Linked DNA regions of Cricetulus griseus. The protein of the gene in region 1 purifies or fractionates together with the protein of each later gene. This does not show direct contact. Links are inferred from orthologs where the notes say so. Each region holds a gene or a part of one and is shown in the gene's direction. Other genes may lie near its edges.

Region 1 (3,300 bases):
AGGAAAGCAAAAAGAGTGGGGGCAAAGGAGACTAAGAGAGAGGGGGTCAAGAGAGAAAGAGAAAACAGGGAGAGGACCAGGAGAAGGCACAGGTGGAATAGGAGGGTTATAGGGCAATGGGAAGCTGGGGCGAGAAGCCCACTAACTGGAGAACTTTAGGGTAGAGGGTGAGATGAGAAGAGCCAGCATTCCCTAACAGGTACTTGTGATGTTGCATGAGCCTGGAGGCCAGCAAGCCGCTTTGGGATGCTAATAGGCACGACAGATAGCTCTTTGTTCCGAGTTTCTTTTGTACCGGACACACAGCACTTATATAAAAGCTGAATCTGGCTAGTCATAGCGGGGCACGCCTTTAATCCCAGCAGAGGCAGGCAGATCTCTGAATTTGAGACCAGCCTAGTCTACAGAGTGAGTTCCAGGACAGTCAGGACTACACAAAGAAACCCTGTGTTTGGGGGAGGGGGCTGAGTGTGGCCACCTGTGCGGCTAATTCCTGTGCTGAGCTGGAAGGGTGGGGCAATTACAGAGACAGGAGGGCAGTATGGGGCTCCAGTATGCCCAGCCAGTTTGCAAGCTCCAGAGTCAATAAAAGACCCTGTGAAGGAAGGAAAGAAGGAAAGAAGGAAGGAAGGAAGGAAGGAAGGAAGGAAGGAAGGAAGGAGAAAGAAAGAAAGAAAGAAAGAAAGAAAGAAAGAAAGAAAGAAAGAAAGAAAGAAAGAAAGAAAGAAAAATCTATCAGGGCCAGATAGTTCAGTGGACGAAGGCACCTGCCACCAAGCCTTTGCTCCCCAGGATACACATGGTAGGAGAGAGCTGACTGTTGCTGGTAGCCCTGAGACCTCCACAGGTGTGCATGGCATGTGTGTGTCTACACAGGCGTCCCTCTGGTTCAGACCAGACTCAGTTGTTTCCCAGTTGGACACAAAGGACCTAACTTCCAACCGTAGTCTCAAAAGAAGGATGGGACAGGGCCGCAGGCCACCGCCCTTCAGCCCAGGCAGTGAATGCCCGACAGTGGGAACAGCTCCAGCTACCGGTATTACAGTCATTTGTTTTCTTCAACTAGAGAAGTTTCCAGATGGGGGCAGAACCTTCCTGGCCCCGCCTGCCTGTCCCCTTTGTAAGCTTAGGGGGAGGAATGCAGCGGGGAGGGCCGGCCCCTAGACGGTCATTGCCATTAATAGAGACCTGAAGCACCGCCTGCTAAAAATACCCGGCTGGACACCCATAAAAGCACGGCCGGGGCTCCAGTTCGGCACTTCTCGGATCATCTGCCCTGACCCGCACAGCCAAGAACATGACCGAGCGCCGCGTGCCCTTCTCGCTGCTGCGGAGCCCCAGCTGGGAACCATTCCGGGACTGGTACCCGGCCCACAGCCGCCTCTTCGACCAAGCCTTCGGGGTGCCCCGCTTGCCGGATGAGTGGTCGCAGTGGTTCAGCGCCGCTGGTTGGCCCGGCTACGTGCGCCCACTGCCCGCCGCGACCGCCGAGGGACCCGCGGCGGTGGCCCTGGCCGCGCCCCTGGCCGCGCCCGCCTTCCACCGTGCGCTCAACCGGCAGCTGAGCAGCGGAGTCTCGGAGATCCGGCAGACGGCCGATCGCTGGCGCGTGTCCCTGGACGTCAACCACTTCGCTCCGGAGGAGCTCACGGTCAAGACCAAGGAAGGCGTGGTGGAGATCACCGGTGAGTCCCCCTTGTCCCCACAGGGAGAAGCCAGCGGGCTGAGCGCCCCGGTGGCTGTACCGGGTGGGCGGGGGGAGGGTGTGAAGCCAAGAGGGATGGGAGCCTGGAAAGCTAGAAAGGAGCTCCGAGACCGGGAGGCCAGTGTCGTTCTCCCTGGCCAGCTTCCCTTGCTGCGGAACCCGGGCGCAGGCTGCGCCTAAGAGCCTGTCATCCTCGCTGATAAGGACCAACAGCTGGGGGTATAGCTCAGGGCAGAGCCTGGCCTGGCCTACGGGAAGCCCCGGGTTCTACGCACAGCAACGCACCCTCTGGAAGACCCCATTCCCAAATAAGGAAGTGCCAGGACTCCTGCCAGTGTCCCCGGTCCCAGCCACGGAGGGGGCCGGCACACAGCTCTGAGTGCGCCTGCGCTGGTGTCCAGCCTGGATCAGAGCCAAGCCCAGTATCCCAAATCCCAGAAACGAACTTTCTGGAAAGTTTTAAGATGACTCCAGGGAGTCAGGCATCTCACCGCACTCTCGTGTGTGTGCTGCCTTGGAGTCCCAGCCACTCCTTAGCAGGTGGTGGGGTCTGCTACCACACAGCAGAGGCTTGTCTCTGACCTCCTTCTGTCCCACCCGCAGGCAAGCACGAAGAAAGGCAGGACGAACATGGCTACATCTCCCGGTGCTTTACCCGGAAATACACGTGAGTTCTGGTTCCTTGCGTGGCTGGGTGGAGGAAAGCGGACCCAGGGAGGAGAACAGAGGGGCCGGGATCTGGAGGGATGTGTAACCCTTGTCCTGTTTTTCTTCTTGTCCAGGCTGCCTCCCGGTGTGGACCCCACCCTGGTGTCCTCTTCCCTGTCCCCTGAGGGCACACTTACCGTGGAGGCTCCGCTGCCCAAAACAGCCACACAATCCGCGGAGATCACCATTCCGGTCACTTTCGAGGCCCGCGCCCAAATTGGGGGCCAGGAAGCTGGGAAGTCGGAACAGTCTGGAGCCAAGTAGAAGCCATCAGCCTGCTGCATCCCCAACAGCCATCACTCGCCACCCCTCTCTATCAGTCTTTATGCTCTTTTGATACATGTACTTTCTGTTTTTCTCAAATAAAAGTTGGAAGCTACTGCTTGCCACCGTCTCAGACCCCGGTGTTTCTGGCGGGCTAGGGATGAGTGCTCCTTTGGTGTCTTTGCGATGGGCTCAGCCCCTTCTTGGGTTCAGCCTAACATTTCCCTAGGAAGAAGGAAAAAAATGATAATCTGGAGATTAAAATTTTACCAGGGTGGGGCTGGGCATGATGGTGCATGCCTGTAATTCCAGCACCCAGAAGCTGATGCAGGAGCATGGTGAATTTGAAGCCAGCCTGGACTACAGAGTGAGTTCCAGGAGTGCCCGGGCCACATACTTGTTGTCTCCAAAACAAAACAAAAAACAGGAGCTGGGGATGTAGTTCACAAGAGTGATTGTATGGCATGAGGCACTGTTTGACACCGCCCCCCACCCCCGCCCCAGCTTGCACACACACATCCAAAAGCATGGTAACGCATACCTGTAAGTCCAGCATTACAGAGGATCAGAAGTTTAAGGTTATCCTTGGCTATATAGCCAGTTTGAGGTCAGCATGGGACACA
Region 2 (4,109 bases), on another chromosome or scaffold:
TTGACTATGTGCATGTCATGGCTCCTGTGTGGAAGTCAGAGGACAGCATGAGGGAGTCACTTCTCTGTTTCTATCATATGGGTCCCAAACTCAGGTCATTTGGCTTGGCAGAAAGTGCCTTTACCTGCTGAGTTGTCTTACTGGTCTAAGACAAGTTTTAAAATGTCACTCACCTAAGGGGAAACCTGCTGTATTCTTAGGGTTTCTCAGCCCCATCTTAGTCACATTCAGAGAAAGGTGCTTTGCTGGCATTCAGATGAAGGAAGGGTCTCCATCATTGGGCTCTCAAGAGCCCTGGACTAAGCCTTCCAGGGTCTGGGCATTTCAGAAAGGTGAGTTAAGGTGGGGCTCTTGCTGCCCCTGAGTCTCTCTGGTTCAGATTGTGAATTTAAGATGTGGTGGCACACACCTTTAATTCCAGCACTCGGGGCAGAGGCAGGTGGATCTCTGAGTTCTAGGCCAGCCAGGGTTGTATAATGAGATCCTATCTTTGTAAAGGGTACTTATACCTGGTCCCTTTCCAGTTGATTTAGGCCAGCATGGATGTCTGTGCTGGGCTTGGGTGTTATAACCTAACTTTCTGGGTTCTGACTTGCTCCTGAGTTGAGCCCCATAGTCCATTGTTCAAATCTGTCCTCCAGGGTGCCTGTAAGACAGCAGCCACCTGTCCACACCCATCTCCAGGTGTTTCCAACTTGGTTTCTTAGAGAGTTGGTACAGGGAAAGCTTCTTGTCCCTCTGTGACTGGGGTCTGTATTGCTGCTTGCTTCCTCCTCTTTCATCAATATCTCAGCAAAGGGCTGATTTGAAACAGGCTCTGGTCACCTCAGCGCTAGGAAAGGGTTTTGTTTTACAAGTTGTCTGGGGTTTGTCAACCTGGGAGTTTACATGGGCTTAGGTCTTGTTTTTGCTCTCCCTGTTCTGTGTATCTATTTCCAGGTATGTTTTGCAGGGAAAGCCCTGACTTCGGATTGGTGCTCTCAGTATGAGACATTTCTTAGTGTCTTGCCGTTCGATCTCTATCTGGCTCCCTGTCAGACCTGGAGTCACTCCTGTCTCTAATAAAATTCTGCAAGGGACACGTATTTTAAAAATACCCTAGTGGGGAGGGGGCTCTGCATAGAACCCAGGTGCTGGCTTTGGGAGGAGTGGGCTTGGGGGGATTTCAGTTTATGGGGTTCCTTAGGAGGAAGCTACGGAAGAACCACTAATGATTTGGCTTCAGCTTCTGGGACTTGCCTCCCAGGCAAAGGCTGGGGTGTGGCCTCCTCTGAGCGGAGCCAGAAGGCTGGGTTGGTTGGGTGGGCCCTGGTGCTGTCTTTCTTCATGTCCCCATGCTCCCCCTTCATCGCTCCCCCCTCGACCGTATCCCAGCGGGTCCCGGCTTCCATACATGGTCACGGCCCTGCTTCTAACTCCCTGACGTCCCCCCCCCGTCCCCGCCCCCACCGGACACGGCCCCCGCCCTGCTCGCCCCAAGCTGTCTGCCAGCGCACCGCCATGGAGGACCTGGGTGAGTGGGGACCGGGTCCCCTTAGCCTCTCACCCCTGCCTGCATCTATCTTCCCCACTCACACCCCACACTTCTCCCATTCCAGTTTTCTCCCTCCATTTTCTCGCCTCTGCCTTCCTGTGCCTCCCTCCCAAATCCACGTACCCTTTCCTGTCTCTCCCTTCCTGCCTGCTCGCGATGCCGCACCCGCACCCTCCGTTCTTCCCTGACTCTGCTCCCTCAACCCGGTTTGTGTAATGGATTAGGCATTGAGATACCCACGGGGGCCTGAATTCAGAGGCTCTGGGAAGGAAGGGGTTAAGGGATCCTTGGGTCCAGAGACTAGGAACACAGACTGGAGAGGAGAGTGTGACATCAAGTTTCGGAGATGAAAGGGGGCCAGATAGCCTAAACCAGGGCTTCAAGAAGACAGGGGTAAGCCCTCTGAAGTATAGCAAAGGTCAGGTAAGTCCTCAGGGCAAGAAAGAGAATAACAGACAGAGAGTGCCAAGTTGACAGAAAAAAGTTTAAGGCTTCTGCCTAGATGCCCAGAGAAGAGTAAGGGGATCAGCGCTCATAGATCCAAAGCGCCCCAGGCGTTCTGCCCTCCCTATTTGCGGAGTCTTTGCTCCGCGTGACGAGATTTCTGCACCCAACAGCAGAGGGCGCTCCTCAATAATAGTACACGGATAAGAAATACACCAAAGGCAGCTCCCTGCCAGTACCTCTTGCCCCTGAGGAGAACTGGGTGAAACTTCATTGTGACCAAGAAGTGGGGAAGAATTAGTGGATATGCCACAGAGAACATCTAACCAGGAAGTTGGGTGTCAAGCATACAGGCAATTAAACAATTGGGAATTCAGTAAAAGCTAATCTTGGCTGCGTCAGGAAAGATGGAGAGAATAAAAGAGTTAAGTGACTAGGTTTGTACTTGGCTCCCAGGTTAAGCCAAGGGAGAGGTCATAAATACCTTCTGTTATCATCCTACTTCTTTGCCTTGGTCTGGCCCCGAGTTTGTTTCTTAACCTCTGCCTTTAACACTGGCTTCTATCTTTTCAAATACTGCCACTTGGAACCCTTTATCCTCTAACCACTTAAGACCTTGACCCCACCCCACCCCACCCCCACCTCTCACCTGAGGGCCTCTCACTGCAGATGCCCTGCTCTCTGACCTGGAGACCACCACTTCACACATGTCACGGTTAGGGGCTCCAAAAGAGCGCCCGCCAGAGACACTCACACCTCCCCCACCCTATGGCCATCAGCCACAGGTGAGATGAAATTCTGGGGGTCTGGGGCAGCCACTAGGAGGGCCTGGGTTGGTTTGGGCTAGGGAAAATCAGAGTCTGAGTGAGGCAGGGGACATGACTGCTCTTCCACACACCTCTACTCTCTGCAGACAGGGTCTGGAGAACCTTCAGGAGCCTCCGGGGACAAGGATCATCTGTACAGGTGAGAGGCCTGGAGACTGGGGCATGAAGATGGAGAAGAAGCCAGTTGAAGTTCAGGTGAGGGGACTTGGATTCCCCACCCTAAAGCCAGATTCTCTCCTGTCCCTTAGCACAGTATGCAAACCTCGGTCCCCAAAGCCTGTGGCCCCCGTGGCTCCTCCGTTCTCCTCTTCCAGTGGTGTCCTGGGCAATGGGCTCTGTGAGCTAGATCGTTTGCTTCAGGAACTTAATGCCACCCAGTTTAACATCACAGGTAACAGGGTTGTTCCTGAGCAATCATTGATGGGTCGGGGACAGAGCAAAGCAGGGCAGAGTTTAAGGGACACAGACTTCTCCAAGGAGCAGTTAAAGGACATAAAGCCTGCACTGGCAGGGTGAACTGAGTGTGCCCCTAACCTAGTGTCATTTTCCCATCTCTCCAGATGAGATAATGTCTCAGTTCCCATCTAGTAAGATGGCTGAAGGGGAAGAGAAGGAGGACCAAACTGAAGACAAGAACACACCCACTGTGTGAGTTTGGCATAGTTGACAAAGCTAGGAAGGAGATGATGGGTCCTGGATGTCTGAGTTACCATAGGGGGGTGTCATGCTGGCAGGCTCTAAGGTTATTCAACTGTGTTCTCCACAGTCCTCCCAGCACATTCCCTGTGCCCTCCAAGCCTTCAGCCACCTCAGCCACTCTCGAGTTGGATAGACTGATGGCATCACTCTCTGACTTTCGTGTCCAGAACCACGTGAGTCTGGAGGGATTTTGGCTGGTGTCGCTTTGTGGTTCACCAATCCAGTTTTGATGCTTCCAATTTGTGGCCTTGTTGATTCAATGTCCATGTACTCTTCACTGCAGCTTCCAGCCTCAGGGCCATCTCAGCCCCCAGCGGCGAGCTCCACCCAAGAGGGGTGCCCTTCTCCACCAGGACAGACGAGCAAGGGCAGTCTGGACACCATGCTGGGGCTGCTGCAATCCGACCTCAGTCGCCGTGGTGTTCCCACTCAGGCCAAAGGCCTCTGTGGCTCCTGCAATAAACCTATTGCTGGGCAAGTAAGTGCAGCCCTGAGAAAGGAGGCATATGCTCACATAGCCACCTTTGAGAACCAGACTCTGTGCTTTTCCCTTCATAAGTACTGTCTATTCTTTGAGAATTTAATGCATGCATACAGTATATTTT
Region 3 (3,954 bases), on another chromosome or scaffold:
GAAAACAAAGTTTCATCAACAGAAAAATGTCTGTGAACTAAGAGTTCTAGCACTTGGGGCCAAGCCCTTAGGCGACAGATAAGCAGAGGGAAGGACAGAAATCAGTCCAAGTAAGCTGGGTCGCGAATCTGCACTTCTTGAATAAATGCTCTAAAAAGCATTCGAAAGCATGCAACAGAACAAACTGGGCCCAAGGTGGGGGGAAGGGGGCTCAGGAGCCTCGGAAGCTGCATAATGGCCACCGATGGAGCCCTATCTTTGGAGAAGAGGACTACACCTGTCAGCAGAGTCGGCCAGAAGTGAAGAGGGCCTGAGCAGCGGAACCCGACCTCTCAGATTGAATCGGAGCTCTCAGAAAGTCCTGGTTGGGCGGTCACCCTTCCCTTCTCGGCTGTGGAAACCCCTGCTTCCGGCTTCCGGTGTCGTAAGTGTGGGATCCGGAAGTAAAACACAGACTCGAAGTCGAGGAGATTAACTGGAGCTGCGAAGCCACAATAGTGCTGCATCCCACTCTGAAGAGAAGCCTCAGACCGCCAGCCTGCATTGGCTAACCGAAGAGCGCAACGCTCTTCACTGATAAAGATCACACACACACTCACACACACACACACTTACACACTTTTTTTTTTTTGATACAGGGTCTCTCTCCTAGCTATCCAGATCTACCTGCCTCTGCTTCCCGGGTGCTTGGAATTAAAGGCGTGTGTCACCTCGCCCACAGTTGTCCCCACCCCATTTTCAAGGCGTCGCATTCGCAATGAAACACCCCAGTTTTAGTCTGGTTCTGTCACTGGGCTCTCTGCCACCAGGTCCCTACCATGGAAAAAGCCTAGAAGAAGCTGCTAAAGGACGCCAAACCGATTGCAAGGGGAGGCGTGGCTATGCTGCTAACGGAAGTGGGGTCATCCAGGAGTGCGCAGGGACTCGAGGGTCCATCGGAAAACAGACCATAAAGTATGGCTGGGGTAGCGATGGGGACGCAGGAGAACTGTGCGGAGCTGTATCTGTGCCAGCAAAGCATCACGATCGCGGAGCAGGAAAGCAGGGACGGCCAACAGGGTGGGGCTGACAAGGGATGCGTGCGCACCTACTTCTGCTACTCTCCCCTCCCTCACCGATGGAGTAGTCCGAAGCTCCTCCTCTCCTGCCTCTCCTGAGGCGGGTCAGCTCAGTCAAAGCACCCGCCCTCCTGCGTTAAACGAGCCAGCTAAGCGCAGCCCCCGGAAACGAGCTGTGCACTCCAGAACTGTAAACCTGTTTGGCAGCAGCAACTAAACACAGGTAAAGGGGGTGGTCTGATAGCACACCGGTGGAGGGATGTGCTTCCCGCTTATGAGCCGCGTGTCCCTTTGATGAGCGCTATTTGTTATGCTTGGATATGGAAAAAGATCTACGAGGTCTTAACCCATCCCATTGTACCCCGCACTTCCCCGCATTAGGCCCATGAGGACTAGACTTTTAGAAGAGAAGGGTCTTTCTGGGATCATTTAGCTTGGCCAGCAGAGAGCTGGGGCTGAACTCCATCATCTGCACAATGAAAAGATGCTCAGTTCATTGTGGCGTTTCTGGCAGAGACTGGAGTGCGATGGCCCCAGACACAGTGCGATGCTCTGACCGCGTCGCTTTCCCAGAGTGGATTCCCTAGCTGAATTCCATTAATGCTTATAGAGATTTCGTAATGTACAGCCCCCAGAGAAGACAACATAGGATATGGCTGGAGCCCAGAAGCAGCAGTTTCTGATTCTGATAAGGTTAAGTTGTCAATGCTCTTCTGTTCTCCTGCCTTATCAATGAGTCTTTCTTCCACCAGAAAACACCATGGCAGAGCAGGTGGCCCTGAGCCGGACCCAGGTGTGTGGCATCCTGAGGGAAGAGTTGTACCAGGGTGATGCCTTCCACCAAGCTGATACACATATATTTATCATCATGGGTGCATCGGTGAGTCTCCCCTCAGGCCCTGAGTGTAAAAAAATCAAATGTAGCATTTTGCAAGGCACTTCTCTCTCTTTACCTGAACTTTCCCAACTGACTGCTAAGGGGCCACACAGGTTCTAATTTGAACTCACGGCATATGTTCCCACCTGTGTGTCCTGATCATCACAGCAGTCAGTACCTGCTGTACATCATGTACTTCTGTCAAATTTCTCATTTGCAAGGCTTTTCAGAAATCTATGTTCAGCCATTAAATGTGGGCCAGACTTGGAGCATGCAAGTTCTAAAGCACCATCTACTTGAACTTCTTCCTCCTGGATGGAAAAAAAAAAACTGAGGTGCAACCAGGAAGTGCTATTCAGTCTATATGTTTTCCAAATCTGTAATTTGACAAATGTTACAGTTGCTTTCAGTGAAAGGATCTGAGGTCCTGCCTCTGCCTCTTTTCTCTCTATTGCATGAAGTTCCCTGGAGGCAAACACCTACTCTTTACCACATCTTCCAGAGCCTACTGCAGATTTCTGTTGATTCCACCTGGTTCCCAGTTGTCTAACTAAAACAACTACCAATATGCTCTGTTAGGAAAAACTGAAGAACAGAAGCGTAGTCAGAGGGGTGGTGTGATGATGGTACACAGTGAGACTGGGGCAGGTGGGGCACCCTCTCATGTGCTTTGTGGAAGCAGGGCATGTTCAGTGACCAGGGTTTTGTGGAAAAGGTAAACTCAATTGCTTGCTTTTAACCCTAGAATCTGATCACCCTCGTGTTACCATCTTCACTATTAACTTATTGTGTAACCTTGAGCAAGAACTTCACTAGAGCTAATGTGTTATTGAGAGGGTAGCCACTACTAGCTCAGCACCTTGCACACTTTGGGCCCCTCAGTGCTGGGTGAACTCTGTGGTTCTTTGTTCATACAGAGCATTGCCACCCACTAAGGGTTAGGGCTGTAGCTCAGTGGTAAAGTACTAGGCTCTTATGCATGAGGCCCTAAGTTCAATTCCCGGTACTATCAAAAAAGAGGAAATCAGAACATGCCACCCCCTTTGCCAGACGTGTTCTTTGTCAGCCTTGTATTTCAGAGCAAAAGTGGAGTGAGAAAACTTAGAAAAGGAATGCAGAAACAGAGGAGAAGGGCTCAGCCACTGAAAGGGCAAGGGAGAGACACCCCCAAGGCACTGTCCCCTAACTCCCTATAACTGTAAGACCCAACAGAGGTACCCAGTTGGAACACACAGTACAGCAGTCCTACCCTCAGCCGTAGCACCAGCCTAGTCCCCTTAAAGGAGCCATGCATACATGTATCAACTACAAACCTTAGCATATAGGACTCTGACTATTAGGTCCTTCAGTCTAAATGACCACCTGGAAGAGAAAGTAACTAAGGATGATTTCCCCTGCCCCACCCATGCTTTTATAAGCTTGCAACAATAATAATCTAAACATCAAAGATAGTTTACAACTGGCAGACCTGAACTCTTAGATACCTCATTGATAGCTTGTTGTGTGACCTGGAACAAATGTCTCCATTTCTCTGAACATTAGTAGTCTTCATCTAACAAACAAGGGCCAGACAGCCTCTGGCTTTATCCTAGACTAATTATGTGAGTTCTAGCCTGAAATTGAGCAACTTCATTTCACTGCAATCGGTATGGTTCCCCTTTGCTCTCCTCTGCTCTGGAGTGAGAACTGAGGCTTCCAGAATAGAAATGTGAACTGCTAGCTCCAGCAGAAAGGAGTGGGGAAGAAAGAGAAGTTTGCTGAAGATCATCATTTTTTTTTCTCTGTTCTTCTCAGAGGGCCTGAGACAAATAGACCCTGTGCCGGGACAGCCCCCAGAATATCTCTTGCCTGACACTTTACTGAATGCATGAGGCAGGCAAAGTGCTGATCTAGGATACCTGCAAGTTCTCCATTCATTCAATGTAGCAATCAAGTGTCTCCTCCAATCCACAACAGCCTCAGTCCCTAGCCTCATGGGGACAGTGTCTTTTGGGAGCAAGCAAACCAACAGGATTTTAG

Evidence for each region. Proteins that work in one complex are often made in the same cells at the same time.
Region 2: the proteins of Hspb1 (region 1) and Tgfb1i1 purify together in Homo sapiens (affinity purification with western blotting; 3 studies listed by BioGRID). This does not show direct contact. The link is inferred for Cricetulus griseus from reciprocal best matches to the Homo sapiens genes HSPB1 and TGFB1I1.
Region 3: the proteins of Hspb1 (region 1) and G6pd fractionate together in Homo sapiens (co-fractionation; 3 studies listed by BioGRID and IntAct, with this or other methods). This does not show direct contact. The link is inferred for Cricetulus griseus from reciprocal best matches to the Homo sapiens genes HSPB1 and G6PD.

The regions. Positions count from the first base shown.
Region 1 is NC_048597.1:114,890,713-114,894,012, forward strand, and holds Hspb1 (heat shock protein beta-1), read left to right. Parts: upstream 1-1,145; 5' UTR 1,146-1,297; coding exon 1,298-1,685; intron 1,686-2,308; coding exon 2,309-2,372; intron 2,373-2,487; coding exon 2,488-2,677; 3' UTR 2,678-2,800; downstream 2,801-3,300. UniProt on the Homo sapiens protein: Small heat shock protein which functions as a molecular chaperone probably maintaining denatured proteins in a folding-competent state. Plays a role in stress resistance and actin organization.
Region 2 is NC_048596.1:72,567,129-72,571,237, reverse strand, and holds the start of Tgfb1i1 (transforming growth factor beta-1-induced transcript 1 protein), read left to right. Parts: upstream 1-1,309; 5' UTR 1,310-1,326; coding exon 1,327-1,513; intron 1,514-1,656; exon of another isoform or gene 1,657-1,740; intron 1,741-2,647; coding exon 2,648-2,763; intron 2,764-2,891; coding exon 2,892-2,944; intron 2,945-3,053; coding exon 3,054-3,196; intron 3,197-3,365; coding exon 3,366-3,453; intron 3,454-3,571; coding exon 3,572-3,677; intron 3,678-3,787; coding exon 3,788-3,982; intron 3,983-4,109. UniProt on the Homo sapiens protein: Functions as a molecular adapter coordinating multiple protein-protein interactions at the focal adhesion complex and in the nucleus. Links various intracellular signaling modules to plasma membrane receptors and regulates the Wnt and TGFB signaling pathways.
Region 3 is NC_048604.1:1,292,346-1,296,299, forward strand, and holds the start of G6pd (glucose-6-phosphate 1-dehydrogenase), read left to right. Parts: upstream 1-1,154; 5' UTR 1,155-1,281; intron 1,282-1,810; 5' UTR 1,811-1,818; coding exon 1,819-1,938; intron 1,939-3,954. Other genes in the region: Ikbkg (NF-kappa-B essential modulator), read right to left, coding at 949-951. UniProt on the Homo sapiens protein: Catalyzes the rate-limiting step of the oxidative pentose-phosphate pathway, which represents a route for the dissimilation of carbohydrates besides glycolysis.